7 linked regions of the Callithrix jacchus genome follow. The protein of the gene in region 4 interacts with the protein of the main gene of each other region in a pairwise test. Links are inferred from orthologs where the notes say so. Each region holds a gene or a part of one and is shown on either strand. Other genes may lie near its edges. The genes, in order: SYT17, CCDC106, SNX20, FAM9B, LYRM2, TRMT61B and EBNA1BP2.

Region 1 (4,389 bases), on a different chromosome or scaffold from region 4:
CTTTCCTATATTCAGAAAATGGTCATGGATTATTATGAAAAAGTATCACTTTATCCTAAACATTGTAAAACACTTTTTCATGTAAGCCCTATGAGGGCATAATATTTTGCTGTTTTGTGCCCTGCTGTACCTTCTGGGACAATACCTGGTGCCTGCTGGGTTCCATTAGGTCTTGACAGTCACCTAATTATAGTCACAGACAGGGTGCATTTTGTTTTTCAGCTGGACAGCAAGCATTTGCATGGTCAGTGTCCTGTCCTACCTCAACAGCACCCCTTTGAGGTATAGAGTAGCTTTTCCATGAAAGAAGAGGTAACCAATGCTCAGAGAGGCCCCTACTTGCTCAAGTCACATGATCAGTTGATGGTGAGACTAGGACTCTAGAACCTCTTGACTCAGCTTGTTGTGTGGCCCCTTAGCACCTTTGGGTCTTGTTCTGTGTATGGTTTTGGCTTTAGAGACATTTGTGATGAATGCCTTTAGACTATTTCCCAAGCTGTTATTCCCTTACTACTTCAAGGATTTTGAATTTCTCACAAGCCATGTGCCACCTGTACTATTATTATTATTATTATTTTAGATGGAGTCTCACTCTTGCCTAGGCTGGAATGCAGTGGCGCGATCTTGGCTCACTGCAACTTCCTGGTTCAAGCAATTCTCCTGCCTCAACCTCCCCAGCAGCTGAGATTACAGGCATCTGCCACCACACCTGGCTAATATTTTGTATTTTTAAAAGAGACATGGTTTCACCATGTGGCCCAGGCTGGTCTCGAACTCCTGACCTCAAGTGATCCAGCCACCTTGGCCTCCCAAAATACTGGGATTACAAGTATGAGCCACTGCGCCCAGCCCTACCTATGCTATTATTAACTTTTTTCCTATAAATGGGCTCACTTTTATTTTTACTTAAAAAAAAATGGTATGAAAAGGAAACATGTCATGACTCTCATAGGAAATCCAGATCATGTGACATAGGCAGAAGGCAACTAGAAGAATAAGCATAATGGGAATGATGCCACATTGCTGAATTCTAGGTGGATGGGGCTATCTTCAAGGCTCTGAGCTAGATCAACTTCGTTTGTTTAAAAGGAAGGGGTTGGGGGAGGGTAGGAATTGGTAAGTGGTAAAAATACAATGGTACCAAATTGAGACTTTCTCCTCCTTGAAGGAGAATGGGGTGGGGGTGGGGGGAAGATAATAACTTTCTCCCCATTGATTCAAAGTTCTGAGTTTGAGTCCTGCCTCAGTTCACCTCTGGGACATGCCCGAGGTTGGGGTGCAGGACTTCTATCTAGTCCACTTGGCCCATTTGGAAAACCATCTTAAAGAGAAGGAGGGAGTTTGTGCTTTGAGAACCCAGGAGACGAAGATGGGGAGGCAGGGTGGGAGCACAAGAGGAGAGGGAGGGCCTCACAATAGAAGAGGAAGGGAGGGCCTCCCTCCTCAAGAGGACCAGATTAGGGCTTCCTTTTCAGTTCCCTCTGTTTGTGGGTGGTGATAGGAAACACCCCACTATCACCATTGGAGCAGAATTGGAAGGTAGGGCCTCCTGGAGGGCGGGGGACCCAAGTACCATCCACTGTGTGCCTGCCTGCATGTTAGCTAATCATGTCCTTTCGGGTTGGCTACATGGCTATTTCTGTATAGGAAGGTTTGCTCTTCTCCTGAAGTGTGGCTGTATTGGATAGCATGACTATCTATCTGCCCGCTCTGATTCATAACAGCATACGGTGCAAATCAGATCGAAATGCTAGAGTTTCTCATTTATTTGGTGTTGGTTAACCGGGAGGCTACCAGCAGCCCTGAAAATAGCAACACCTTGTTAGGAAGTCAGCTTCCTTCCCAGGATGGTAAGTGGAAATATGCAGGGCTTTTTTTTTTTTTTTTGTAAATTTTTTTGAGTTGCTGGAATATTGCTAAACTGGTCTTGTCTCTCTTTCTTTAACCCCTTCATTCCCTTACGCCCTTGGCTTCATCGTGGATCTTAAAAGGGCAGTTGGAACCATTAAACGAGGTGGGTTCATGTGATGATTTGTTTGGTCTGGTTTCTAATCAAGAAATGCCTGACTTTCATTTTGGAGTCTTATGTGGGGCTGTGGGGATATTGAATATTCTACAGTAACCTGGTTGGTGTTCATAACAGCTCAGTTTCCATTCCTTTTACCGAAAGGAGATCCCGGTTTTGAAAAGACACCAGTTGACAAAACAAGTTTCCCTCTCCACCCCTACTTATTCCGTTTGATTATCTCTGTCTGTTTCATGTCACCGAGATTATTTTTAAAAAATTTTTTTCCCGGCTTTTCAGAAGACAGAGTAATATGCATTCTGTTTCAAGAACATATTGTATAGCCTCATGATGTCGTATAAACCACCCACATGTCAAGAAAGACGTTCACATAAACTACAAAAGAAAATACCTGCAAATGTTTCACTTGCTACTAATGGCCCCAGCAAGTTGATGTTTGCTATCTTTGTGCCTGCAGTTGGTAAATAGAAATGGAAAACATTTTGTTCTAAGTGCTGAGCAGCAGAACCAGAACCCTTGAATGTCTTTTTCTCATCCAAGATCGGCTGCTTGTAATTTTGGGTGTTGTTTCTCCTTCTCCTCTTCCTCACCCTGCCAACCTCCCTTCTCCCCTTGCCCCCCGCCCCCTCCCTCCTCCCCCCTCCCCCAATGGCCTCAGGGTTTTCTTTCTAGAATCTCTGATCTGCTGCTGTGCAGATGGACCTGCCGGCACTGCTGTCAGAAGTGCTACGAGTCCAGCTGTTGCCAGTCGAGTGAGGATGAAGTTGAAATTCTGGGACCTTTCCCTGCTCAGACCCCTCCCTGGCTGTAAGTAAAACTGCTCTGAACTTCTCTGAAATCAATTTCAAGACTTTTCCCTTTTTCTGAGAAGGGGGCTGGGGGCCTGGGCCATGGGAGGGAGGATCTGGGGGGCATGAAAGAGCAGCAGGCTGAGTTTCCATGGACATCTTTGCTACAGACTGGGGATATGTTCTGTACCCCTCATTTTGTTCAGCAAGCCGGCGAGACCAGCTGGTGGTGTGGTTTTAGTTCACCTAGTGGCACATTGGGCCTTTGGAGATATGAACTGTGTAATGCTAAGCGTGTGGGACGTTTTAGTCATGTGGAATGTTGTTCTGAGCAGAGAAGGAGGTCTGTGAGTCTCTGTATTCTTCAAGGGCTAACCACATTCTGAGGTTTCCATCCAAGTCAGCGTGACAAGATTTCCTGGCATCCAGTCCAGGGCCTGCACATAGTAAAAGCTCGGTAAATATCCATTGCATGGATGGGTAGACGGAATAAAGAAACAAGTGCTTTTTTGCTGCTCTGAACAAGAACTTCAGAAACAGGGAAGCAGAAAAGCACCTCCGGGCTCCATCCTGTCCTCCAACGCTGTTTATGTTCTCTCTGGCATCTTTCATTTTATTTCTAATTCGCTCTCCTCCCGCGCCTGCATACAACATCTCCATCTGCCAGTCGCTCAGATATTTTGGGAACGCAGTTTTGAAGCTTCTCAGCCACGTGTCTGGTCCACCTCTCCGTGACTGAGAGAGGGAAGTGGTCAGAGAGCCTGGGTACAGTCAAGAAGGTCGGGGCTGAGAAGGGTCAGGAAGACATCAAGTGAGCTCCTCATGACTCGGAGGGGCAGGCCCAGGAGGGAGAGACAGCAGCCAGGACCCACAGCTGGAGCCTGGCAGGGTGGAAGGAGACAGTGCTGTCTTAGCTCAGTCCGTGGCCTGAGATTCCAAAAGTCTCTGGTGCCCTGTCTTTCTCTTCAGGTTGGGGCTCATGCCTCAGGCCTCTCATTTTTTCTTCTTAGAAGCAAGTATCAAATATTTTCACAGCAAAATGGCTCCGTATCCAGGCTGTGTAATCTTCACTACTATTTCTAGTTCTGTGACCTTGAGCAAATTGATCTCTCTGTGCCTTGATGTCCCATCTATAAAATGCGATGCTAAAAAGAATGGTATTTCTTTTTTTTTTTTTTTTTTTTTTTTTGAGACGGAGTTTCGCTCTTGTTACCCAGGCTGGAGTGCAATGGCGTGATCTCGGCTCACTGCAACCTCCGCCTCCTGGGTTCAGGCAATTCTCCTGCCTCAGCCTCCTGAGTAGCTGGAATTACAGGCACGCACCACCGTGCCCAGCTAATTTTTTGTATTTTTAGTAGAGACGGGGTTTCACCATGTTGACCAGGATGGTCTCGATCTCTTGACCTCGTGATCCACCCGCCTCGGCCTCCCAGAGCGCTGGGATTACAGGCTTGAGCCACCGTGCCTGGCTGCAAAAAGAATAGTATTTCGATCAGAGTTGTGGTAGGGAGTCAATGAATCTGGAATGTGGAAAAGTAGTTGGGAATGCTTGATACCTTGTCGGCGATTATAAAT
Region 2 (4,403 bases), on a different chromosome or scaffold from region 4:
TCTGTGTCAGCCTCTCGGGTAGCTGGTATTACAGTAGAGACAGGGTTTCACCATATTGGCCATGCTGGTCTCAGAACTCCTGACCTCGTGATCTGCCTGCCTCAGCCTCCCAAAGCGCTGGGATTACAGGCCTTTTATTTGTTTGTTTTTAGTGTTTGCTCTGGACTGAGTGCAATGGTGTGGTCTCGGCTCACTGCAACCTGCACCTCCTGGGTTCAAGTGACTCTTCTACCTCAGCTTCCCAGATAGCTGGGATTACAAGTGTGGATTACCACGCCTGGCTAATTTTGCACTTTTAGCAGAGATGGGGTTTTACCATGTTAGCCAGATGGGCCTGGAACTCCTGACCTTGGGTGATTCACATGCCTCAGTCTCCCAGAGTGCTGGGCCTCGAGACAAAAATTTCTTTACCATAGTTAGCTTTAGTATGCAGATTTTTTTTTTTCCATCAACTGTTATTATTGTTTTGAGATGGAGTCTTGTTCTGTCACCCAGGCTGGAGTGCAGTGGTGCCATCTTGGCTCGCTGCAACCTCTGCCTCTCGGGTGAAAGCGATTCTCTTGCCTCAGCCTCCTGAGTAGCTGGGATTATGGGTATGTGCCACCACACCCGGCTAATTATTTTTTTAAACTGCTGATTCCACCCTGTTTTGAATTCTCCACTTACGATCTTGTACTTTGGAAGAGGCCAATCTAGGGCAGGTGGCTCGCCCAGGAATTTTTGGACCAGGTTGCAGTTTATCTGTAAAGTGAGCTGGGGAGGAGAGTCATGGTCACAGCTTTGCAGGAGGTGCAGACATGTAGATTCTCTATGGAGTGAAGACCTCGCTTTCTTAAGAGCTGGCTGGATGCTTCTGGTGGACAGGAGAGGCAGATGGAGCTGAGTGCACTTTCCTTGCCTGTTTTGTGCCAGGCCCTGTGCTAGGCCGCGTTTGTTCTCCCGACCTCTTTTGGGAGGAGGAACAAATCTGTTTCAACTCCCAGAAGTGGGAAAGAGCCTCACAGAGGCTGCGATCACACCCCATCATGTGGCCTCAATGCCGGCAGCGCCCCTCTCTTCAGCCCTGCCTATGGCCAGGTGCTGGGCTGCGCTTCTGCCTGTCACAGCACCGCACGCTGGCAAGAAATTTAGGGCTTGTCATGTCCCCATTTCACAGGTGAGTTAGCAGGCTGGGGAGGGGCAGGAACAGTCTGGACTGGAATGTAGCTCTGCTCCAAAGCTAGCTCTTCATTACCAACATGGGGGTGGGGGTGGCGTGTTCCTGGCCCTCGCTTTCCGGGAGAGGGTAGCTTCCCCCATTTTGGCCCCCACGTCCCTGGGAACCTTGGAGTCTGGCTGTGGGAGGCGGGGGCTCTGGGCGGGTCCGCGCTGGCTAGTTCCGGAGGGATCGTTAAAAGTAGATTCTTTCGCTCCAACTCTCCTGCCTTCTCCGGGGCCCACTGGGCACACCGCCACCGAACCCGGGGACCCCCGGAGACTCTCCGGCTCGCCTGGATGGGAATTTCGTGACGTTCCCTGCCTGAGCTTCGGGGAGGGCGGGGGAGTGCTGTAAGGGACCATCGCACAAGTGCATCCCCCTGCTTCTGCCGCAAACGACAGGCCTCACCTGGACCCAGGGACTCTCGAACGAGGCGCGCTGGCCTAGCCCGACGGGGCGAGTCCCCACGTCCCTGTCCGTTCCATCGCTCAGTTCCACGGCTCGCTACCCTGCCGCCCCGCCTGTTCGCGGGTGAGTGGGCGCTTCCCTCGGCTCCCCGTGACACTTTGCAGACATTCCCCGGCGCCGGGCATGGGCGCCGCCGCCGTCGGTCCCCGAGCCGGATTCCACGCGCGGGTGGGTGAGCGTGGGGGACCGCGGCCCCTCGGACCCCGGGCATCCACGGTCAGGGGATGGTGGCCGCGTTTGCACCCCCGGCCTGTTGCATGACCCCGCTGGGATCTTTCCACGACTGCTCCCCCCCAACCCGCGGGACAAAGGGCGGGGGCGGGGGGGGCGCATCCCCACGCGTGACCTTTCCCCGTACTGCGCACGCGCCCAGCCCCCACCACCGGGGGAGGGCTCGCCCGCCCACGCGAGTGCGGGGGAGGGGCATGGAGCCCAGGGGGTATGGGAGGCCGCGCGCACCGGCCGGACCTCCCCCTATCCTGGGAAGTTGGGGCAGTTTTCCCTTGCACCTGCCTCTTGCTTAGGCCTGGAGGTGGCCTGCGATGAGCCCCAGCAATTACCTAGGGCTTCCGCTTCTTCCTTTCATACCCAGGAGCCCACGTCCCCAGCTCACTTCTTCCTCAGGACATAGGCGGCTGGGCCCCCTGCCCCTGTCTCTGGGAGGCCAGGAGTTCGAACCTGGACGTTTGGCCTCAGTCCTGGCGTCCGGGCTCCCTCCTCCCTCAGACCAGGGTTCCCTCCTCTCTCATCTCACCTCCCCCAGGATGGACCCTCGAGTCCGTCCGCGTCCCTCCATTTGTGGCTGCTGTTTCTGTCCAGTGCCTCTGAGGCGCTCGGCTGCTGGGGTCCACAGGAAGCCACACCATGAATGACCGGACCAGCCGGAGGCGGACAAGTGAGGAAGCTGGGTCCCAGTGCTATTGCTCCAGGCTGCCGTGGTTGGGGGGGGTGGGCTGAGGGGCTTGGGAACTCCTCTGGGGTGACCCAGGGCCTCTCCTCTCCAGTGAAGGAAGATGAGGCCTTCGAGATCTCCATCCCCTTCGACGAGGCGCCCCACCTAGACTCCCAGATCTTTTACAGTCTGAGCCCCTCTCGGGGAAACTTCGAGGGTGAGCTGAGGGGCCGAGGAGGGATTGGAGCCAGCTGGGAAGCCAGGCCCTGAGTCCCAAGGTGTGACCTGGGCCCCGCCCTTGCTGTGTCCCTAGGGCTCCCTGAAGACACATCCCCTACCCGGGCCCTGATGAACAGCGTCAAGGCCCAGCTGCACATGGCCCTGGAGAGGAACTCCTGGCTGCAGAAACGCATCGAGGACCTGGAGGAAGAGAGGGACTTCCTGCGCTGCCAGCTGGACAAGTTCATCTCTTCCGCTCGAATGGATGCAGGTGTGTCTGTGGGACACACTGGGCCTGTCACCTCCCTGTCCCGCTCCTGGGCACCCGCCTGCCCAGGCTTGAGGCTCCACTGTTTGGCTGTGTGGGACCTGCCATGTTGGCCCTCTCTGCTAGTCCCCTGCCTGTTTCCAGGCCTCAAGCCCAGCTTCCTTCTCGCTTGGCCTCCAAGGCCTCAACCCCATGAACGATCTCCTGGGGCCCGTTCTGCCTTCTCCATCAGCCTCAAGTGTCCCACCATGTTTCCCCAGCCCTGGGTGCTTTTAGGGACTCAGGGACCTGAGCTTCTCTCTTCCGGACTCCTAGGGGATGTTCCTGCTTCTCTTTGGCTGAGAAGCCCATCCTAGTCCTCTGAGTGTCCTCAGGGGCCCCCGCTTCTCTTCCCAGGCCTGTCTTCTCTGAGATCCAGGAGTCCAGCCATCTAGCCTCTTCTGTCCCCTCCCCTGTGTGACACCAGGGGCTGTCTTCCTACCCACCGTGTCCCATCCTTGGTTAATGAGCACTCCTTCCCCATCAAAGAAGTTAAGTCCCTTAGTGAGGCTCTTCAGGTGGGGCCTCAGCATGTGCTGTCCCCCAGACCCTGCACCAGGTTCCCAGGCAGTCCCCACCCTCGTCCCTTGCTCTAATTCATGACCAGAGGCAGCCCACTGCCTCAGCCAGCTCACAGCTATTCTCTTCTGACCGCTGGGACCCTGTGCCCTGCTTCATACATTTGAGAGCCCAGCCCCAACCTTTTCTCCAGATGGTCAGGCCCTTTGCCCCAGACCCTTAGCCCATGTCCTGAAGACCCACTCTACCTCACCTACCCTCAGCTCAGCCTTGGTAGCTCCCTGGTTGGGAAGACCCCTCAAAAGCTCCCACATCTCTCTTTGTAAATTCAACCCTTTCCCCCAAAAGCGTGGGCTAGGGGCCTGTGGCATCTGGGGATCTGCCGTTCCCTGTGCTCTGAAGCACACTGCCTCCGGCTGCCCTTGCCTGCCACTGTCTCCTTCCACTGACTTTCTGACTCCTTTGCACGGAGGTTGGGCCCTGCGGCCCCAGCACTTTCCCAGCGGGGACCCTTGCACCAGACCCCTCCCCTAACCCGCCTTCTAGAGGACCCTGTGTCTGGGTGGAGGTGGGACCCAGCCTGCTGCACCCAGGGCCCCTGATTTCTCTCAGGGTCTGACCCCCCGACTCCAGCCAAGGCCTTGCCTGCCTCCTGGGTTCCCAGACCCAGCCCCTCCTCCATGGGAAGCACACACAGTCACAGGGGTCCTAAGGTCCTTGGTTCTGGCTGCTTCCCCAAGATCTCTGACCAACCCAGGCCTCTGAGAAAACGCTCCACCTGTGAGCACCCCCCACAGCCC
Region 3 (3,778 bases), on a different chromosome or scaffold from region 4:
TTATCTGGGTCACAGACAGAGTTATTATGTGAACCAGATGCCAGCTGCCTATTCTCCCTCCCTGAGTAAGGTGGAGAGAATTTTGAAGTCAACCCAGCCTAGGTCTGTATCCTGCCCACCACTCACCAGCTCTTCATTTTTGGCAACTCTGAGTCTCAGTTCCCTTATAAAAGGGAGAAGAAAACTCCTGACTGCAGCCAGCAGTCAGGCTAGTGCCAACGTGTGTGCTGGGTATCAGGCACATACTGGAATGTCACTGAGCACTGGGGAAAAACTCACCTTTGCTTGTTGCCCACACTCACCAGCTGCATGACTTTAAGCTAGACCTCAGTTTCCTCATCTGTTATTTGGTGGTAATGATAGATTTTTGTGAGCATTAAACTAAATTAGGGGCTGTGAAGAACCTAGGTGAAATCGGTACAACTAATTTTGCTGATAGATGGATAATGGATTGATTGATCTATAGAGGATTCATACCAGCGTATCTACCTGCTCTGCGCTGAATACTGAGATTTCTTTTCTTTCTTTCGTTTTTTTTTTTTTTTTTTTTTGAGATGGTCTCGTTCTGTCACCCAGACTGGAGTGCAGTGGCATCATCATAGCTCACTGCAGCCTCAGTCTCTTGGGCTTAAGGGATCCTCCTGCCTCAGCCTCCTGAGTAGTTGGGACCACAGGTGTGCACCACCACCCTTGGATAATTTTTTTACATTTTTTCTAGAGACAGGGTCTCACTACATTGCACAGGTGGGTCTGAAATTCCTAGGCTCAAGTGATCCTCCTGACTCTGCTTCCCAAAGTTCTGGGATTATAGGCATGAGCCACCATGCCCAGCCTGAACACAGACATCATTTACATGTGTAACGTAAAACTGAGTATCTGGACAAGCCAGCATCTTTCTCTCAAGTAATCGCTAAAGCCAATCCTTTTGCTTGAAATCATCTCATTTAAAACTCTGAGCAGTACGTAAGGACCACCTCAATAACACATGGATCATCACAGTAGGCGAAGGGTCTTCTCTGCCTTCCTGCGCAGCAAAGGGGCAGACCCAGGTTTGGGATCTGGCAGCTGGGAGAGCGGTGGGGCCATTGTCATTCCCTCTGCTTGCCAGCAGGGGACATGACACAGCTCCTAGGCACTCCAGGAGCCAAGGGGAACCCCAGTTGGAGGGGGTACTCACTGTTCTCTTGTTCTTCTGGCAGACTTGGAGCATGGCAAGTCCAGAGCACCCTGGGAGCCCTGGCTGGACGGGACCCATAACCCACTGCACTGCAAGGACCAAGCAGGAAGCACCAGCCACTGGCCCTGACCTCCTGCACCCGGGACCTGATGGGCACTTAGGTGGGCTGGAGGCCTGAGACTCGGTCTGGGGGAGATGTCGGAAGACATTCAAAGTACAAATGTGGGTCGCTTTGGCAGATGCAGCAAGAGGCCTGGGCAGCTCTTGTAATTTGGGTTATCCCAAAGCAGACACTAAGACACAGATCTGTGCAAGCTGTTTATCCGGGAGATGGTCCTAGGAGTCACAGCAGGAGAGTGGGCAATCGAGGGAGCGCAGGGCAGGAGGCCAGTGCAGGGCATCAGTGAACAGATGCTCATGGTAGGTGGCTGAGGCCCAACTCCAGCAGGGGTCTTCTGGGAGACCCTGGAACATATCTCTGGGTTGTCCTATCCCAGGGGTGAGGAAGCCAGGCTATTATCTACCAGTCCTTCCCTGCATCAGAGAAGGGACGCTCCTGGGTCTGCTGCTACCGCCCTGGAAAGCCTTCAGGGAAGCCAGTAGCATGTTCTGGAAAAGTGAGTGCCAAAAAGGCATGGCCCAGCCATGGGCAAGGACAGCATCTGCTGTAGCGCCATCTCCTGGAACAAACCTTTTCTTACAATCCTTCAAGATTCCCCTGTTGAACACCTGCTCTGTTCCCGGCCCTATGCAGGGCACTGCGGAAGCAGGAACAGAACAGATCAAACACTGCACTGGCCCTGAGGTTTGGCAGAGAAACAGATCAGTGAAAAGTAGTTAGACGTGCCACAAAAAAAGGCTATAGGAGCAAGGTGGGAGGTTCTTATTCTAATGCCAAGGGGCATTTGCAGTGGTGCGGGGGTTGGGTCTTGAAGGGTTGATTGGAAAAGAGCTGGGACCCATGGCCTTATAAAATGCGCAATTATTTGCACTTCTCAAGAAGCTCAGAGAGGTTCAGAGCTCAAGTGGGGCTTAAGAAAGACGTGTTCATTTTCCAGGCATGGAAATAGAGGGTTGGATGCAAAGCAGAGGAGTGTGTGTCTGAGAAAAGCCTGGCACGTGGGCAGTTAGATGGGAACGTTAGGAAGGTCCAGCCCGCTGAGGCTGGAACACAGCATCCTCATCACTCCCCCCTCCCCTGCCCACCAATGTGTGCTCAAGAAGTCCTGGCAACAATCATGAAGTCAGGGGTGCAGGGAGCTCAGAAACACACAAGCCACGGTCTCTGCTTGTCGGGAGCAGGGATTTCACCAAGGCCAATCCGCAGACCAAAGCCGGATGATGCAAAGTGCCTGCACTGCATTTCACAGCTGAGAAACCACTTGGGGATGATGGGCTATTTGAGATTGTCAGTTGGAGGGTGGATTCAGCCAGACTGGACACAGAGGTCTGCCTGATGCCCTGCTTGGTCCTATAAATGGTGGGGTGGGAGTGAAAGATATTCAGCACTCTTTAGGAGTCCTGATGTCCCATCTCAGATCCACCTAGCCATCTCCCCAAGCCCTTGCCTCGAAAGTGCACTGACCGGGTGCAGATCCTAAAGGGTGCTGTCCTTCCAGACATGCACAGCGGCCTGAGCTCCAACTCTAGCATGACCACGCGGGAGCTTCAGCAGTACTGGCAGAATGAGAAATGCCGCTGGAAGCACGTCAAACTGCTCTTTGAGATCGCTTCAGCTCGCATCGAGGAGAGAAAAGTCTCCAAGTTTGTGGTAAGCAGAGATCAGGAAATGGCGGCGCCTCTTTCACTCTGCTTCCTTCCTGCCCCTGAACAAATCTTGTGGGGCCTCAGCTTTCCCAACTATGAAATGGGTCGACACACTCTAACTCACAGCATTCTTCCAGAGAAAACAGCCAAAGAGTAAGATTTCAGGCTCAGTACTGCTAGCGTCTGTGAGGATTCCAACCATACAACTCATGCTTCTTGGTCCTAAGAAGGAAATAGTCCGGTTTCATCCCATCTTATCCGGTGTAGGTCACCTGTATCCTTTCTTCACCAATTTTGCCATATCCCTGTATCCATTATAATTATTATTACTTATTGTTTTCTTTAAATTGGATCACATTTTTAAAACACAAGATACATTTATTTCGAAGAGAAATACCTTAAAGGGAAAACCAACATCACATGGCATAAAAAAAAGTAACTAGAAAAGCCATACTGGAAAGGTCAGTCAATACAAGGAAAGCTACCCGCTGCTGTTAAATTCTAGCTGGGTACTGTGGCTTTGGGAAGGCCCTGAGCCCAGGGGCTGCTCTCCCTGTTAGACTGGAATTTTAGCTTGTGTTAGGGAGATGTTCAAGATGTCCTGAGAGCCGCACTTCATCCTCCTTCACTTCCCTGGGACCAGGATAATAACAAAGCTACTGCTGACTGCCAATGGCATGCTGGGCACAACTCCATGTGGTTTCAGGGCATTGTCTCATTTAATCCTCACTGGGTGAGGTAGGCACTATGCCTGTCCTCGTTTTATGAATGAGAAGACTGAGGCTCGGAGAGATTAAATTACCAATCTAAAACCACACAGCTAGACCGTGGTGG
Region 4 (4,522 bases):
GTTTATTCATTTATTTTTTTCACATTATTTTACATTTGTAACATATTAATTCCCAGATTCATATTTTCCTTTTCTTCATATTTTTCTGATACATATTTTTGTATCATTTTGTTTTAGTTCCATTCTTACATATAGCATGTACTTAGGTTTTTATTTGGATCCAAGTTGGAAGTCATTTCCTTTAGAATGTGAGTTTATCTCATTCATATTTCTTGCTCAACAGATTAACTTGGCCTTAATTCTGTTCCTTTATGTTATGTTATGGTCTTTGTTTGTAGTATTTTCTTTATTTTTCAACTTTTACCACAGGATTTGTATGCTTTGTGTGTGCTCTTTCTCGTTATATAGACATTAAAGGCTGTTGATTAGTTTTCCTGATGACTGCCTTTATAATTTCAATAACATAATGAACCTCTGTAGCTCGATTTACCAACTCTAGGCAGTATTTATTCACTCCCAACTCCAAAACAACCTTTACGACCTATTATAGAAGACTGGAGGTGGAAACAAGCTGAGTTAACGATATTAAGGCATTTGAGGGTGAAGGTTGTGGGATATGTCTGGAAAAGTCTGGAGCATGAGGGTTTGTGGGCAAGCCTGGGCAAGCCTGTGGGCAAGAAAAGTAGTGAGGAAACAAAAAAGGTTGTGGGCCTGGTGGGGTGGCTCACACCTGTAACCTCAGCACTTTGAGAGGCATAGGCAGGCGGATCACCCGAGGTCAAGAGTTTGAGATCAGCCAAAAAATAAAAATAAGAAAATTAGGCCAGGCGCAGTGGCTCAAGCCTGTAATCCCAGCGCTTTGGGAGGCCGAGGTGGGTGGATCACGAGGTCAAGAGATCGAGACCATCCTGGTCAATATGGTGAAACCCCGTCTCTACTAAAAATACAAAAAATTAGATGGGCATGGTGGTGCGTGCCTGTAATCCCAGCTACTCAGGAGGCTGAGGCAGGAGAATTGCCTGAACCCAGGAGGCGGAGGTTGCGGTGAGCCGAGATCGCGCCATTGCACTCCAGCCTGGGTAACGAGCGAAAACTCTGTCTCAAAAAAAAAAGAAAGAAAAGAAAAGAAAATTTAAAAAATTAGCAGGGCTTGGTGTTGGGAGCCTGTAATCCCAGCTCGTCGGGAGGTTGAGGCAGAAGGATAGCTTCGACCCGGGAGGCAGAGGTTGTAGTGAGCCGAGATTGCACCACTGCACTCCAACCTGGGCAATAGAGCGAGACTCAGTGTCAAAAACAGAAAACATAAAAGCGCAATCCATTGATAAAAAGGATGCAGCAGGGCATGTTGGAAGCACACAGGGAATGGAAAGGAGCCTGGGCACCACCCATAGGGTGATGGCCATTCCAGCCAAAGGGGCAGGGGTGGCTGGAACGAGTCCAGGGGCGAGATGCTAGGAGGCCTTGTCCACTTGGCCTCCATTCCGAGTCCTTGCATCCCACCCCAAGAGGAGGAGCCAGAAGATTGTGGGGATGGAGGCCCCAAAGGGCCACCCCAACTTCAGTCAACAGTAAGCCCTGGTCGGTCCCTTAAGGGGAAGGAGAGGCGTGGCAGCAGGGGGTTGGCCCCACACAGTCCTTCACCGGCATGCGCATGCGCATGCGCACTGAGCTGACCAATCAGTGAGGAGCGTGGGAAGCCAGGCCGGGTCTCTTTCTAAGACAGTCTCGTAGTGCCAGTGTCTTCTGTAGGTTCTGTGAAGGAGCCACATCAGGGGTCCCTCAGGTGACGCACTTGAGGCAGGGAGGTGGGAAGGTGGGCACAAGACCGTCTGGGAACCAGGGTGTGAAGAGCTGGGCGCCAGCTGACCTGTGAGGAAATGGTCCTGGGGTCCTCACCTGGGGCCTAGGTCAGGGCGAGGCACTGAGGGTAGACTGGGGTGGCTGGAGCAGGGAGGGAGCTGGAGCCACCTGGGTGGCCCCCCAGGACGAGGGAGTGTTCTGGGTGCTTCTGTAGGTGTGCAAGGGGGAGGGGCTGACGGTGCCGGGGAGGGGAGTGAGGCGGGCCGGGGGCGTTATGGGGGACGGTCTGAGTGGGTCTCTCCTGCCCAGCATCCTGTCAGAACAGGACACTTCAGGTCACTGGAGGTGCCCTGTGCATCCAGGAGAGCGAGTGGCAGTGTAGCTCCTGACATTCCTCTGGAGATGGCTGGGGAGATCCTGTGTCACTCCGCCGCCCTCCCAGCCACTCAGGGTCTCTTGGGGATCCAAGGGCAAGGCCAAACTCTGTCCCAAAGGCGCGGGTAGGATGCCTCAGAGGCCGTGGAGTTCAGGTGTGTGAGGCAGCTGTGAACTCTGCAGCCACCCCCGGGGACGGGCTGGACGGGCCAGGACGGGAGGGGACACTGGCATCTTCTCCCTCCCTCCTGCTCCCACAGGAGACTCGGGGAGGGCCAACCCCACCCATCTTGAACCCGCGATCCCAATGGCTTTCCTTTCTGACGCCTCGTTTCCTTAGCTTCCTTAGTCGTCTTTGCGCTCACCAGGTTCCGGGGTCGCCTCTAGTTTCCCAGGACGGCCAGCCATGGAACGCAGGGGCAGAAAGCACAGCAGGAGGGCTGCCAAGGCCCACTTGGAAGCTCAAGGTATGGCTGCCCAGGACAAAGAGCATGCAGGTAAACACAGCCCAAGGGGACCCGGAAGCAGGCGCACGCCCAAGGAGACGTCTGTCTGATCTCTGCTGGGGATCACACTGGCAACCCAAGGTCCCCGGCCTCTTCATGGCTTTGGAGTCCACTGTGCACGTGCTAAGACATCCCGGTTTTCAAAGCAGGCTCGAGGGCCTTAGACTTCCCACGGGAGGCTCCACCTCAGGCAGGGTTACAGGTGCTCTCAGAGTAGCTCTTCTCCATGGCTGAGGTCCTGGCGTCCAAGGAGTCTGACCTGTAGTGTGTCGTTTACTGGGACTTGAACCCCAAGGGCTTCCAAAAGTGCCTCCATTAAATGGTCAGGAGCCGGTGATTCCACGTATAGCCCTGCTTTAAAGCTTTAGTTGGCAGACAGCCAAAAACAAGTCCACAAACGGTACGTTTCTCCATGAAAAATGTCCACAACAGCGTCTTCCTCTAAAAACGGATTTGTCTTTTAAATTTTGATGCAGGAAAGGATCCAGTAATTGATGAACGTGAGGAAAGAAACCCTTTTACAGAAACAAAGGAGGAAGATGTAACTGCTGAGCAGGGGGAAAGAGAACCTCTTGATGAAACAGATGAATATGAGGGGTAAAGTGTGAAGTCACTGTTGTCTGTCGGATAGAGCCTTTTAGGAAAAGTCAGCTTTGGATCATGTCATCACCGTTCTAGTCTATGCAGAACATTTCACATAAGACATTTTTTCCCAACAAACACGACATTTTGTGTAGTCCTATGTTAAAATTTTGATGTAACTTTTTTTTTTATAGGGTTGATACCAACAAGCCAGAAGATATTGCAGGTATGCCTTAGGAAGTATCTGTAGTTTATGAAAATTGTTTTCAACGGTACAACTGTTACAGTAGGTTATGTGAATTAGTGGATGACAGACTGTCTTACATGCCTTCTTCTCATATGTAGCATTTAACTTAAGTATTTACCATAATCTGTTTGATAAATTTTTCTTACCTTTGTGATCATTAATGTGTAATGTAAGAATGCTTCTAACAATGGTGAATCGAGAGGGATGGCTTTTCTTTCATACACATGGAAAGTTAATTGTTGGGGGATATTAGAGGACATTGGAGGAGAAACAGCTCTATTCAATCCTTTCAGTGTACACAGATTAAGTCATATATCAGTTTTTTTTTCAATCTTTTACTTTAGGTTTGAGGGTACATGTACAGGTTTGTTAGATACATTGCGTGTCACAGGGGTTTGGTGTACAGATTATTTTGTCACCCAGGATTATAAGCATAGTACCTGCTGGGTGGTTTTCATCCTCACTCTCCTCCTGCCTGCCACCCTCAAGTAGGCCCAGGTGTCTGTTGTTCTCCTCTTCCTGTCCCTATGTACTCAGAGTGTTTAATAGGAGTTTTTCATCTTTCTAATTCAGCTATTCTATTGTCACAGCTTTCTGATTTTGTTTAAAAAAATTGAATTCTCGAAAATGATTTTCTATTATTATTCCAGCAATAAACTGTGTAGTAGAAAAGGAAAGACAACTTTTCTACCCAGTGGGAAACATGTCATTGGATCCAAAAACTCATACATTTTGTATAGGCATGTTACATGTTAGTTGCACTGACTGTTATAGGACCGTATTTTCAAAAAAGTTTGAGAAAATTTCTGTAGAGATGATGGAGACAATACTCTTATTTTTAAAAAGCTCAATTCAGTTTTCAGCTTTTCTATAGCGATAATACACATAAGCAGAATATTTGGAAAGCTTTGCTCGCTTGGTGGTGACAAAGTGCTGGTTTTGTGAGTTGCCTAATACATTGAGTGTGTTATAGATTGATACTGTATTTGAAAAATATTTGTATTATGGTGCAGATCTTTTATGATTGCTGAAAACTATTCTTAGTACTTGATGGTAGATCTCTTATGCAAAA
Region 5 (4,204 bases), on a different chromosome or scaffold from region 4:
GAGGCTTAGGGATGTTCTGCTCCTCCTTATGAAAAGTGCTTAAAACTGCCGTGGGAGCCAGGCGCGGTGGCTCAGGAGTTCAAGGCCAGCCTGACCAACATGGTGAAACCCCGTCTCTACTAGAAAAAAGTACAAAAAAATTGCTGAGTGTGGTGGCGCACGCCTGTAATCCCAGTTACTCAGGAGGCTGAGGAAGGAGAATCGCTTGAACTCAGGAGACAAAGGTTGCAGTGGGCCGAGATAGTGCCACTGCACTCCAGCCTGAGTGACAGAGCAAGACTTCGTCTCAATAACAAACAAAACAAAAAACCCCGCAGTGGGGCAGCCATTCAAAGCTTTGTTTCAAAGGCTCATGAAGGTCACCGTTCCGGGAAAACGCTTGTATTAGAAAAGCACAGGACGAACAGAGAGAGAGATGCACTCCAAGGCTATTCATATTGCCAAATCTTTTCCTCTCTTAACACAACCCTTGCCCCTCAGACACGCCTCTAGAGGCTGAGCCAACCTCTGTTCTGCTGTCTCAAGACTTGTGCCAAGTGGGATCAAATGAAGTACTGCCAAAAGAACAAATGCTTTTCCCCTCTTTGCCCACAAAAAACCCCCCCTTATTTTTTTCCCCCGAGACTCGCTCTGTCGCCCAGGCTGGAGTGCAGTGGTGCAATCTCGGCTCACTGCAACCTCCACCTCCCGGATTCAAACGATTCTCTTGCCCCAGCCTCCCGAGGTGCTGGGATTACAGGCGTCTGCCACCACGCCGGGCTGGTTTATTTTTTGGTAAAAACGGGTTTTCACCATGGTGGCCAGTCTGGTCTCGAACTCTTGACCTCAGGTAATCTGCCCGCCTCGGCCTTCCAAAGTGCTTGGAATTGCAGACCTGAACCGCCGCGCCCGGCCTCCTTCACTCTCATTTGATGAACTCTCTTTACCAAAAACCGTGCTAAGTGCCCTTCTTTCGTTATCACAACGACCCTATGAGGCACTACTATCCCATTTTACCGACGAGAAAACTGCAGCCAGCGCAGCCCATAACCTGCTCCAAACCCTAGGGCCTCAGTCCCGATACCTCGCGCTCTTAGTAACAAACCCGCCGGCAGTCTTCCAGGAAACCAGGCTCGCCACACCCTCTGGTCGGAACCCCCCCACTTCCGCTCCTGCGCGCTGAGGCTCCGGCGGACCGCTCGCGGACATGGCCGCTACCCGTTTACCCCCAGCGACGCTAACATTAAAGCAGGTGCGGTTCTCTGCCTTCCAGAGTAGCTTACCTGGGTCTCAGCGTCTGGATTCTCCATCTACCCTCCATCTAACGGGGCGGGTTCCGGGATCCTGACGCGGCGCGCGCCCTCTGATACTAGCCCGACGCCCGCGGGGCGGGGCTTCGCACCGCGTAGGCCGATGGGAGGCAAGAGCCGCTGACTCGGTTTAGTGCGGTCGTGTCAGGTGCGCCAGGTGCTTAATTTCCTCAAGTACCGGCTCCGCTGCTACTCAGTGCAGCTGTCAGTTGCACTGAGCTGTGGCAAATGGCAAATGAGATTACCACAGATTTGAACAACTGTTAATTTAGAAAAAGTGCTGTCGTCGTGATGACAACTTCTAGGAGACCGGCAGCCCTTTTCAGCCCGGTAGTCAGCTCCTGATTTGTGTGTGTGTGTGTAGAGACAGTCTGACTTCGTCGCCCAGGCTGGAGTGCAGTGGCCAGATCTCGGCTCACTGCAACTTCCGCCTTCCGGGTTCAAGCGATTCTCCGGCCTCAGCCTCCTGAGTAGCTGGGATTACAGGCACGCGCCACCACGCCCAGCTAATTTTTGTATTTTTAGTAGAGACGGGGCTTCACCATGTTGGTTAGGCTGGTCTCAAACTCCTGACCTCGTGATCTGCCCGCCTCGGCCTCCCAAAGTGCTGGAATTACAGGCATGAGTGAGCCACCGCGCCTGGCCGATTTTTTAATTGTTCTTAGGTTTCACAGAGGAGTAAGCAGAAAGATCAGATGAACCTCGTGATGCTTTCTTTAAAACATGTTTTTGAGACAGGGTCTTACTCTTGCCCAGGCTGAGGGCAGTGGAGCAATCAAGGCTTACTGCAGCTTACACCTCCTGGGCTCAGGTGCTCCTCCCATCTCGGTCTCCTAAAATCCTGGGATTACAGGCCTGAGCCACTGCACCTGGCAAAAAAAAAAAAAAAAAAAGTCTTTGCCTTTTTCGAAATTGACCAATGAGAAGGATTCTGGTTACAGCTTGTTTGCTGAAGTAGAACCTTCCAGGCTGGCGGTTGTGCAGTAGTAATTGTTATTTCTCCTCTCTTTTACAGTTCATAAGAAGGCAACAAGTTCTTCTCCTCTACAGAAGGATTTTGCAAACAATTCGGCAAGTTCCAAATGATTCTGATCGCAAATACTTGAAGGATTGGGCAAGGGAAGAATTCAAAAGAAACAAAAGTGCCACCGAAGAGGTGAGAACAAAATCATGGTGTGGACAGACCCTAATTCTTTTAATTGTTCAGTGAATTTTTTTTTTTTTAAGTTTAGCAGACATCTTGGAATATAATGCCACCGAGCTGGCATAGCTTGATCATTGCTTGTAATGTTACCGATTTTAAATGATATTTTAAAATTTAATATTGCTGTATCTGTACTCTTCAACATCATCACTTGACTTTTATGCTATGTATTATATATGTGGAAATCTTTTGGCTTTCCTAAAAGGCAGCAGTTCCAGTACCTAGTATTGGTTCTTGATTTTAACAAATAAAATGGTATAGCTATACCTTGTTTAACCAGGTAAAACAGTAACCAGATTTCACTTTATTCTACAGGACACAATCCGGATGATGATTACTCAAGGCAATATGCAGCTCAAAGAGTTAGAAAAAACACTTGCTTTAGCAAAATCTTAACTATATCATTATTCTGAAGGATTTTCAAAGTCTCCATGTGTTTTGTTGCATTTAGGATTAATGATGGACAGCACAAAGCCCAGTCTTACTATTTGTATGTACAGTATTTGCTACATTTTCAAAATGTTTATGGATGTCTCTGCAGTTTTTAAAAGAAGTAAAAACCACTAAGAAATGGCCAGTTAGCACATGAAAAGATGCTGGACATAATCATTAAGGAATTGTAAATCAAAACTATGAGGCAGGGTGCAGTAGCTCACGCTTGCAATCCCAGTACTTTACGAGGCCAAGGTAGGTGGATCACTGGAGGTCAGGAGTTAGAGACCAGCCTGGCCAACATGGCGAAACCTTATCTCTACTAAAAGTACAAAAATTAGCGTGGTGTGGTGATGCATGCCTGTAGTCCCAGCTACTCGGGAGGCTGAGGCAGGAGAATCATTTGAACCCAGGAAGCAGAGGTTACAGTGAGCTGAGATCATGCCATTGCACTCCAGCCTGGGTGACAAGAGTGAGATTCCATCTCCAAAAAAAAAAAGAAAACACACAACTATGAGTTATCACTTCATTCACTAGAATGGCTGTAATTAAAAAGAAAAATAATAAAAGTGTTGAAGATGTGCAGAAATTGGAACCCTCATACATGCTGGTGGGAATGTAAAATGGTGCAGCCACTTCAGGAAACAGACTGTCAGTTCCTCAAAAGATGAAACAGAGCTGCTGTATGATTTAGCAATTCTACCCCTAGGCCCATAACCATTATTTGGAAGTAAAAAAAAACAAAGGACTGATATATGCTAATCATGGATAAACCTTGAAAACGTTAAGTAAAGAAGCCAGTCACAAAAGATCATGATTCCATTTAAACGAAATGTCCAGAACAGGTGGAAAGATTAGTGGTTGCCTAGGCTGGCTGTAGGAGAATGGAGTAACTGCTAATGGGTGGAGGGTTTCTTTTCAGGGTGATGAAAATATCCTACAGTTAGCTTGATGTGTAGGTTGTTCAACTCTGAATATACTCAAATCCACTGAATTGTACATTTTAAATATAAGATATGAATTGTATCTCAATAAAGCTGTTATGAAAAACAACTCTTAGGTGTAGGACTGAGAGTATACTGACATCAGGAGATACCCTGGAACTTTCTCGAAAAATCCTGTATTATCCCTGAGGGTTGTTCGGATATGTTCTTTACATGTGTCGTGGTTTGATAGAGGACTTGTCAAAAAGATCACCACTGGGAATCTAGATCCCAGTTGGAAAGGGAAGGGAAGGAGAAGCTTAATGAGCACATTGAAGCACTTAACCAGAAAGAAG
Region 6 (4,277 bases), on a different chromosome or scaffold from region 4:
GCCTGTTTGCCCAAATTATTGAATCTCCCTGGGCCAGTTCTTTTACTCATAAAGTGGCTTTGCTACGGAATTGTAACAGACTCTCCATAAACTTTTGCCCAGTGAACCAATATCCAGCAAAGAGGCTAGTGAATTTTTTTTTTTTTTTTTGAGAAAGAGTTTTGCTGTGCCACGCAGGCTCGAGTGCAAAGGTGGTTCCATCTTGGCTAACTGCAACCTCCGCCTCCAGGGTTCAAGCTATTCTCGTCCGTCAGCCTCCCTTGTAGCTGGTATTATTACAGGCGTGCACCATTGCTCCCGACTAATTTTTTCCCCCGCGGAATGGAGTCTAGCTCTGTCGCCCAGGCTGGAGTGCAATGGCGTAATCTAGGCTCACTGCAACCTCTGCCTCCTGGGTTCAAGCGATTCTCCTGCCTCAGCCTCCCTAGTAGCCGGGATTACAGGCGCAAGCCACCATGCTCAGCTAATTTTTGTATTTTTGGTAGAGACGAGGTTTCACCATGTCGGCCAGGCTGGACTCCAACACCTGACCTCAAGTGATCCGCCTGCCTAGACCTTCCAAAATGCTGGGAAGCTAGTTATTTAATGTTAAATAACTTTGGGCTCCAAAGGTATGTTTCCATTTTAAGCCGCTTCTATTTTGGGAGGTAAACTAGTTATATTTTAATCATAAAAACATCTATTACGTAAGCACATAGTGAATACGCGAATAGACCTTCCCGGATGGGTGGGTGAGGGGACCGGCAGATGTTCACAGCCCCGTCTAAAAGGACTTGGGGCTGGGGGATGTCCCGGTCAACTGGGAAAGGAGAGCCGGTCAGCGAGTAGCCCGTCCCACGCCGTCTGTCAAATGCATGCCGGGGTTAGCTCTACTCATACATCTTGGGGGTGACTAGGTAACTTCCGTGTTCAAGAACACAGCGAGCTAAGCCTGGGACTTCACAGCTGCACAGCGCTTTGGCCAGTTTTGTCTCTCAATCTTCCGGTCCCCAAGCGAACCTGGAGGACGTCTGTTAGCGGTAAATTCTTCCCTTTGCCCACATTCCTAAAGTGAAAACGGGCGCCTGCGCGCGAGGACATACTCCTTTGAATGGTCACTAACCCAGCAACTCACGCGACTTCTGCGCCACTGCTCCACTAGGCCGACCGCCTCCTTCGCGACGCAGGCGCAGTCGCGGAGCTGTAGAGCCCTGCGCAACTGTGGGAGCCTCGGGCTGCTGAGCCGTGCGCGCGACGGTGAAAGGAGTGGTCGCGCGGGGCCTGCGTCACTCGTCTGCGACGGCGCCTGCGCGAAACACTATGCTGATGGCGGCGCGTTGCGGTCCTGTTTTGCTATCCCTGCGGCAGGATCTCGGAACCAATTCATTCCTGCGCCGCCCGGGGCAAGAGCCCTTCAAGGGAGCTCGGTCACTGTGTTGCAGGTCCTCGCCTAGAGATCTGAGAGACAGAGAAAGAGAGCACGAGACAGTACAGAGGAAAACCCCAGGAGCAGAGTCTTGCCCATCTCTTCCTCTGAGCATCTCGGACATTGGGACTGGATGTCTTTCGTCAGTGGAAAGCCTCAGACTTCCGACGCCGCGGGAAGAGTCATCCCCTCCAGAGCGCGAGGACTCGAGCGGAGACCGGGGCCGGTGCGGTCCCGCACAGCAGGGATCCGAGGATCCCTCGATGCTGTCGCAGGCCCATTGCGCTATCGAGGTCAAAGAGCCTCATGTCTCCTCTTCTTGTTCAGCTTCCAGAGAGAGACCCTTCCAGGCTGGGGAACTGATTTTAGCTGAGACTGGGGAGAGAGAAACACAATTTAAGAAATTATTTAGGTTGAGCAACGTCGGACTCTTAAATAGTAACTGGGGGGCAGTCCCGTTCAGCAAGATCGTGGGGAAGTTCCCTGGCCAGATACTGAGGAGTTCCTCCGGTAAGCAGTTCATGATGAGGAGGCCAGCATTAGAAGACTATATATTATTGATGAAAAGAGGGGCTGCCATAACGTACCCAAAGGTAATGCGATGGAGATAAGGTGTGTATTGGTTCCAGGAGGAGCAAAGACAGATGCAGTACTCAGTCCTGATCAGTATACTCAAAGGACAGCTCAGAACGTTTGGATTTTTTAAAATTATACTTAGCCTTTTAAAATAAACCAATGGATATAACTTTTACATATCACGATGAAAATTAGAATTAGCAAACAACTAGATTTTAATTTTAACTGGGAGTCTCGATTCCCTTGTTTGTAAAATGTGGGTAATATCTCAACTTTCTGTTAGTGTGATGTGAACTCAGTAGGTACATAATAAGCACTAATTTTGTTCCTCGTTACTCAGGATTCAAGAGAATGCTGAACTCTTAGGGAACAATTTTGTAACACTATTATGGTGATATTTTAATCATATTCAGTAGGGCATGTTATGAGAGTATATTTTATCAACAATAGATACGGTGCTTTTCTTGTTAGGGAAGAAATAGAGTTTTGTATTAACATAGCTAACAGTCAACACTAAACATAAAATGACTATTCTTTATTAAAAAGTTAACTGCCTAGAGCCTACTTTCAGTCTTTTTTGAGACAAGTTCTCACTGTCATCCAGGCTGGAGTGCAGTGTCATGATCTTGGCTCACTGCAATCTCTGCCTCCTGGGTTCAAGCAATTCTCCCACCACAGCCTCCTGAGTACCTAGGACCATAGGCGTGTGCCACCACACTGGGCTAATGTTTGTAGAGATGGGGTTTCTCCATCTTGCCCAGGCTGGTCTCCAACTCCTGATTTCAAGTGATCCACCCACCTCAGCCTCCCAAAGTGCTGGGATTACAGGCGAGAGCCACCGTTCCCAGCCCTAGTTTGAAGTTTATGATAATCATCTATTGCTAGCAGTTTGTTTCAATCCTTAGTCACAGTCACAGTCCTTGAGTAGAATGTTCCTGTGTAACACAACTCTCCCTCCTTCTCCAGATCAGGATTCATTCATTATTTATTCAGCAAATAATTGACTGCCTTCCATATTCAAGGCACTATTTAGGGCGGTATAGTGTTGAACTGCAGTCCTTGCTCTCAACGTAGACCTTACACTCTGGAAGGGGTGACAAAGAACAAACATGTAAATGAAAGAATAAGGTCATTTTCAGTAGTATTGAGTGTCACGAAGGCAAATAACATTAACAATGACATCGTTTTGGGTGACCTGGGGTAGGAACATAATTATGTCAGGTGAGTAGAGATGGTCACTAAGGAGATACACTTGATAGGAATCCTAAATAAGGAAGAGCTTGCCTTGTAAAGATCTAGGAACAGAATTGTTCTTGCAAAGGGAGGAATACAGCAGCATTCCTGTTGTGCCTGAGTGGGTCAGGTGAGGGACCCAGTATGAGGTGTGGTTGGAGTATTTTATTCCATGTATAGTGAAGGACCATTGGAAGGTTCTGAGTAGGAATCCAGTCTGTATTTTAAAAGGTGTACCCAGGGACTAAGAAAACTTAGGCTGCTGAGGTATCATAAGCTTTTTTGTCTTTAAAGACAGGGTCTCGCTGTGTCACCCAGGCTAGAGTGCAGTGGCTCAATAACCTCTTACTGTAGCCTTGACCTCCTGGCCTCAAGCAGTCTTCTACCTCAGCCTCCTGAGTAGCTGGGAGCACAGGCGCATGTCACTATGCCTAGCTAATCAAAAAACATTTTTTTTGTAGAGTTAGGGTCACTCTAATTTGCTCAGACTGGTCTCAAACTTCTCTAGGCTCAAAGGATCCTCCCTTGAGGGTGCTGGGATTACAGGTGAGGACGACTGCTCCTGGCCATGGTATCATAGCTCTTGAAGAAAACTAAAAGACTTCTGTAATTTTATCTTGCTTCCCCATGTCTGCTTTCTCCCCATTAGACAAAATCAAGAGAGATTAGTTCTATTTCATGAAGTTATAAATATGCATCTTTAATGTACTTTCTGCCTTTCCATTTGTCACAGATAAAATTCCATTCTAAGAAGGAATTTAAATACTGAATTTGCTAGGTGCTGACTTCTCTTTATGGCCTCCAAATAGGCTGCAGATAGTTTGACTTCAACTTTTACAACTTTGAAATGCTTAAGAGAATACCTCCACTGATTTTTAAAAACTGATCTCCCTGTAATCCCATCTTAGTATTAAAAATATGACCAGAGGCTGAGTGCAGTGGCCACGCTTGTAATCTCAGCATTTTGGGAGGCTGAGGCAGGACGATAATTTGAACCTGGAAGTTTGAGACCAGCCGGGGCAACATAGGAAGACCTTGTCTTTAGAAAGAATAAAAAATTAGC
Region 7 (4,515 bases), on a different chromosome or scaffold from region 4:
TAGAACAGACACTTGCCCAATATTTATACCAATGAAGCTTTTAGTCTTTTTTTCTCCCATCCAAAAAGTTCCCTTCAAATCCCCAAGGGAAAGGGAAAGGGAAAGGGAAGGAAAACGTCATCGGTCACCTGCTGCAGCTCTGCCTGAGACAGCTGGCCCATGGGTCTGGCTGGGACTGGACCCTCCTGGGGACCAGGGTGGGTAAATAAATGTCAGATGTGTGCAAGCGGAATCTGCAGCCAGCAAGCCCTGTGGGGCCCCTGGCTCCCTTGCTCCTCTGAGTCAAGCCCCTTTATTATAAAGGGGATACCTTTATAATGCTCTGCAAAGTGGCAGCATGAACACCTGCAATGCCACACCATTGTCTCCCCACCCCACTCCTCCCAACCATCCTCTGATCCAGCCTGCCCTGACCTTCTGGAGGGAAAGGACATCTAAAGCTGTGCCACCCAGTAAGGACACAGCCACGTGACAGATGTGGTACCTGGGCATTTGCAATGTGGCTGGGATAAATGAGATGCACTGTAAGTGTAAAATAATACCCACCAAATTTTGAAGACTTTCGGTTCACGCCTGTAATCTCCACACTTTGGGGAGCCAGGGCAGGAGAATCGCTTGAATCCAGGAGTTTGAGAACAGTCTGGACAACAGAGCAAGGCCCCCATCTCTATTTTTAAAAATAAAAATAAAATACCCTGTGCAAGATAAACTGTAAAATAGCTCAACAACATATAATGTGTTTTGGAATTAAATAAAATATATTAATTTAACTATATTAATCTTGTGGGTTTCTTTTTCATTTTTGAATGCGGCTTTTTGACAAGTTTAAATTATATATGTGGCTCACGCTATATTTCTAGTGGACAGAGCTGTTCTAGAATTATGACTGGCCCCCAGTCATCCCCACGGAACAAAGCAAAAAGATGCAAAAGCAGGTCAAGCACAATTATTTTGTGAACTGATAATTGCAAGATAAGTGTGATCTTGTTTTTCTTTTCTAGTTCACACATCAGGAGGAGAGAGCAAGAGACATCACAGGGACTGGTCCAGGAGATGGGGGGCAGCTTATACCCACTCCAGCCAGCCTGCCCTTCGCCGGTCCAGAGGGTAGTGTCTGCAGTGCCAGATTTGCCTACTAGAAGCTCCAATGATGTCCCTGTTAAACTTCAGAACTCTCCATGGGCACCTTACACAGTCCAAGTGCCTCACTCTGGCCTTCAAGGCCATGAACAGCCTTAGCCAAACTTGTCTTTCCAGCTTCATCTCACATGCTTCCTGCTCAAAACCCCCACACCTGTCCGTTCACACTTTCATTTCATCCACTAATCAATCATTCAACAAATATGTATTGATTACTTCCTACATATTAGCTACTGAGGTCATGATGATTAGCAAGAGGCACTGTCCCTGTACTTGCTGGAGACCACACATCTAGCAGGGGATGACAGGTAAGTACACAAAAGGCACTTAAGCACGTTGCAGTAAGAGTAGTTGTTGGGGAAGCACAGAGGCCATGGGTACACCAAAGAGGCACCTAAACCAGCCTGCGAGTCAGGGAGGGCTTCCTGGAGGAGGTGGCATCTCCATTGAAGAATGCAAATCACGCAGACTGAGGCTGGGAGTGGCAAATATCCCAGGCAAGGGACAACTCTTAAGTTCAAAAACGGGAAGAGCAGAGAGGAGAGCAGGGTGCCAGTGGCAAATGACTGGCCTGGTGCATATGGCAGGGGCTTTCTGAGCCTTGTGAAGGAGTGTGGCATTGATTTTCAAGTGTTTATTCTAGGAGCTCCTGTCTCCCACCTGAAAGGCCTTCACCCCCTCACCGCCCCCACTCCATTCCCTGTTCACTCAAATCCTGCTTCCCCAGCAGGATCCAGTCTGTGGGGTAAGCCAGGCATTTGAGGCTTGAGGGAGAATGAGCAAGGGGCTTGTGGAGGCTCCAGCCCAGGGCCAAGGAATGGAGGTACTGGGGCTGCATTTGGGGGTACGGTGGTGTTGGAATTTGGGGCTAAAGCTGAGTTTGAGGTTGGTGTTGATTTTGGGGGCTGGAATCAGGAACAGGAGTTGAGGTTCGGGCTGAGTGTGAGGTTGAGATCTAGGATCTTAGTCAGAATTTGGATTGGAGTTAGGAGTTGGGGGCTGAGGCTTCTAGCCAGATTTTGGGTTGGATTTGCAGCTGGAACTGGAATTGGGTTTGGAAACGGGGCTGGGGGTTGGGGTCGAAACGTGCGGCAGGAGCTGGGGCCGGGGTGGAAGCTGGAAGTTCTAGCTAGGGTTTGCAACTGCAGCTGGAGTTGGGAGCTGGTTTTGAAACTGGAGCTAAAGCTAAATCAGGGTCAAAGCTGGGGGCGGGTTGGCGCCCAGGCTCTGGGGCAGATAGACGACATTCCTCCTGCTGACCAGGTCTGCGAATTGTGTTCCGAGCCCTAACAGCAGCAGACAGAAGCCCCTCCCTTCCCAGGAATGCCTTTGCCAAGCAGAAGGAGCAGTGCCACGTCAGCCAATCGGCTCAGGCCCTGCCCTGGAAACGACACCTGTTCATCCTCCTCCCCCCACACTCACCTGAGTGCAGGTTAGGCAGGTGAAGTATCTCCCCGGAAACAGAGCTGGAGTGCCCCACCTGCTTGGCCCTGCCTTCTCGGATCGGATTCAGCACGTCCAGGCTTCTCGTGAGTTCCCCAATAGTCCCCCCAGGCCTCACCGTCCCCACCTTCTCCCACTAGCTTTTCCTCGGAGAACCTCCACCCCCACCCCCAGCCTGGCCCCCACTGGCTCAGCACACCTGTGCAAGCACTTTCAGACCAGCGAAGCCACAGCCCAGGGGAATGCTGGGACTGACTCCCTGGCCACGCCCACCTCCCCCACTTCCTTGGGGATGGCGGCACCAGCCCCCACCCACCTAGAAGGTAGGGATCAGCCTCTGCAGAGGAGTCTCGGGGAGGACAGATACCTCAACAGGATGTAACCTGTGCACAGCCACATAGTAATATTCCCAGAATGACCCAGGACCTACATCTTCTGCACTGTCCTGCCTTGGAGGGGGTAAATCGTTTTCATGTATTCAAAAAGCACGCTTTGAGCATCTATGCAGGCTCTAGGCCCCATTGGAATTCTGAAACAAAGATGTCAGGTGACTTATCCCCACCCCTCACTTTTTTTTTGTTATTGTCCTCACTTTTCAGATAAGGAGACTGAGACTCTAAGAGATGAAACCTTCAGGCTTCCTGGCCCTTCCCCCAGGCCCCTCTTCTGGGCTCTGCAGGGTCCACACCCGCACTTAGCACAGGGACTGGGCCTGTTTGCTTCTGTCTCTCTCCTGCTGCAGACTGGGGCTCCCTGAGGGCAGGGACCACATGTGCTTTATTTCTACCCAGTGTGAGACATGCTGTCCTCTGGAAGGCAGGTTAAATGAGCAACCACTGCTAGGTGCCTGGCCAGGCTCCTGCCAGTGGGAAGGACTGGAGCTGGTGTCCAAATCCAGAGCCCTCCTTCTTCCTTGCTCCACTTTAGAGGGATCATGGAGGAGGATGGCATGGGGGAATGGCAAGTGTGGAGAAGAGCGAGGAGAGCGGGAAGACCAGTGAGGAGGTAGAGGCGGGCCGTGGAGATGACTGCAGGGAACTGGCTGGAGAAATGTTTCGAAGTGGAGCCGGGGGACAGGACAGATACAGCAGAGGGAGGAGGAGCTGGCTGAGAGGGTGGGGATGCAGTGCCTGAAGTGAGGAAGCAGGAGGAGCAGGTTGGGGTAAGATAATAAGCTTGGGTTGGGACCTGTTGCATCACCAGGGACATTGAAGTGACAGCTGACTCAGGAGGGAGGTCTAGGTTGGAAAGAGAAATTTGGGAACTGGCAGTTTATATCACCAAACTTGTGGCTGTGAGATTGGATGTGATGTTAGGGGAGGGAGGGTGTTAGGGGTCTGGTCCTAACCCACAGAGAAGGAGGAGACACAGCCCTAAAACAGAAGAGTCAAGGTCAGTCAGGCTTCTGGTTCCAGAAGGGTTAAGTCATAAGCACCCCCTCCATACCCACAGCTACCCCCCCAGGAACCAGTGGTGACAGCTGAGGCCATGTGAGTCAGATCCTGAATGAGGCTTTATCTCTGGCTGATCATCCCATCATCCACCGTGGCACCAGCTCCCTCAGCCAGCCGGGATGGGACAAGCGACTGAGAGAGCCAGAGGCAAAGAGCTCAGAACCTGGGTGAGGGGACTCCCTGGAGGGTTTGTGGGGTGGGGGGTACTCTATGGGCAGGGCACTCCCCTGGGGTCATTGAGAGGCATTCCCAAGGGACAGTGCTGCAGAGGGGGCTTTCCCAGGGGAGATTTGGGGGTGACACCAGGGTGGATTCTCAGGGACCATCCCAAGGCTCCCAGGTGTGACCATGGGGGACAGGTGGGCTGGGAAGGTAAGACTGTAATCTTTCCCCTACAGGTGATGGTGACCATATCCTGGACTGTGAGAGGAATGGGACTCCGGGCCTGTAACTGCCAAGCAGGTGGCAGGGGCTCCAG

Evidence for each region.
Region 1: the proteins of FAM9B (region 4) and SYT17 interact in binary tests that used the Homo sapiens proteins (3 or more experiments, as listed by UniProt). The two-hybrid records come from large-scale screens. The link is inferred for Callithrix jacchus from reciprocal best matches to the Homo sapiens genes FAM9B and SYT17.
Region 2: the proteins of FAM9B (region 4) and CCDC106 interact in binary tests that used the Homo sapiens proteins (3 or more experiments, as listed by UniProt). The two-hybrid records come from large-scale screens. The link is inferred for Callithrix jacchus from reciprocal best matches to the Homo sapiens genes FAM9B and CCDC106.
Region 3: the proteins of FAM9B (region 4) and SNX20 interact in binary tests that used the Homo sapiens proteins (3 or more experiments, as listed by UniProt). The two-hybrid records come from large-scale screens. The link is inferred for Callithrix jacchus from reciprocal best matches to the Homo sapiens genes FAM9B and SNX20.
Region 5: the proteins of FAM9B (region 4) and LYRM2 interact in binary tests that used the Homo sapiens proteins (3 or more experiments, as listed by UniProt). The two-hybrid records come from large-scale screens. The link is inferred for Callithrix jacchus from reciprocal best matches to the Homo sapiens genes FAM9B and LYRM2.
Region 6: the proteins of FAM9B (region 4) and TRMT61B interact in binary tests that used the Homo sapiens proteins (3 or more experiments, as listed by UniProt). The two-hybrid records come from large-scale screens. The link is inferred for Callithrix jacchus from reciprocal best matches to the Homo sapiens genes FAM9B and TRMT61B.
Region 7: the proteins of FAM9B (region 4) and EBNA1BP2 interact in binary tests that used the Homo sapiens proteins (3 or more experiments, as listed by UniProt). The two-hybrid records come from large-scale screens. The link is inferred for Callithrix jacchus from reciprocal best matches to the Homo sapiens genes FAM9B and EBNA1BP2.

Annotation. Positions count from the first base shown.
Region 1 is NC_133513.1:20,629,561-20,633,949, forward strand, and holds the start of SYT17 (synaptotagmin-17), read left to right. Parts: upstream 1-1,578; 5' UTR 1,579-1,747; coding exon 1,748-1,850; intron 1,851-1,991; coding exon 1,992-2,014; intron 2,015-2,684; coding exon 2,685-2,833; intron 2,834-4,389. UniProt on the Homo sapiens protein: Plays a role in dendrite formation by melanocytes.
Region 2 is NC_133523.1:48,511,378-48,515,780, forward strand, and holds the start of CCDC106 (coiled-coil domain-containing protein 106), read left to right. Parts: upstream 1-1,585; 5' UTR 1,586-1,729; exon of another isoform or gene 1,730-1,838; intron 1,839-2,429; exon of another isoform or gene 2,430-2,485; 5' UTR 2,486-2,530; coding exon 2,531-2,561; intron 2,562-2,670; coding exon 2,671-2,775; intron 2,776-2,871; coding exon 2,872-3,048; intron 3,049-4,403. UniProt on the Homo sapiens protein: Promotes the degradation of p53/TP53 protein and inhibits its transactivity.
Region 3 is NC_133521.1:8,467,386-8,471,163, reverse strand, and holds part of SNX20 (sorting nexin-20), read left to right. Parts: intron 1-1,199; 5' UTR 1,200-1,208; coding exon 1,209-1,338; intron 1,339-2,796; coding exon 2,797-2,948; intron 2,949-3,778.
Region 4 is NC_133524.1:9,247,113-9,251,634, reverse strand, and holds the start of FAM9B (protein FAM9B), read left to right. Parts: upstream 1-1,619; 5' UTR 1,620-1,723; intron 1,724-2,455; 5' UTR 2,456-2,521; coding exon 2,522-2,612; intron 2,613-3,097; coding exon 3,098-3,218; intron 3,219-3,397; coding exon 3,398-3,429; intron 3,430-4,522. UniProt on the Homo sapiens protein: May play a role in meiosis.
Region 5 is NC_133505.1:95,687,327-95,691,530, reverse strand, and holds the start of LYRM2 (LYR motif-containing protein 2), read left to right. Parts: upstream 1-1,160; 5' UTR 1,161-1,186; coding exon 1,187-1,231; intron 1,232-1,262; exon of another isoform or gene 1,263-1,580; coding exon of another isoform or gene 1,581-1,619; intron 1,620-2,304; coding exon 2,305-2,445; intron 2,446-2,808; coding exon 2,809-2,889; 3' UTR 2,890-4,204. UniProt on the Homo sapiens protein: Involved in efficient integration of the N-module into mitochondrial respiratory chain complex I.
Region 6 is NC_133515.1:86,190,368-86,194,644, forward strand, and holds the start of TRMT61B (tRNA (adenine(58)-N(1))-methyltransferase, mitochondrial), read left to right. Parts: upstream 1-1,291; 5' UTR 1,292-1,299; coding exon 1,300-1,998; intron 1,999-4,277.
Region 7 is NC_133508.1:79,936,526-79,941,040, forward strand, and holds the start of EBNA1BP2 (putative rRNA-processing protein EBP2), read right to left. Parts: upstream 2,807-4,515; 5' UTR 2,563-2,806; intron 1-2,562. UniProt on the Homo sapiens protein: Required for the processing of the 27S pre-rRNA.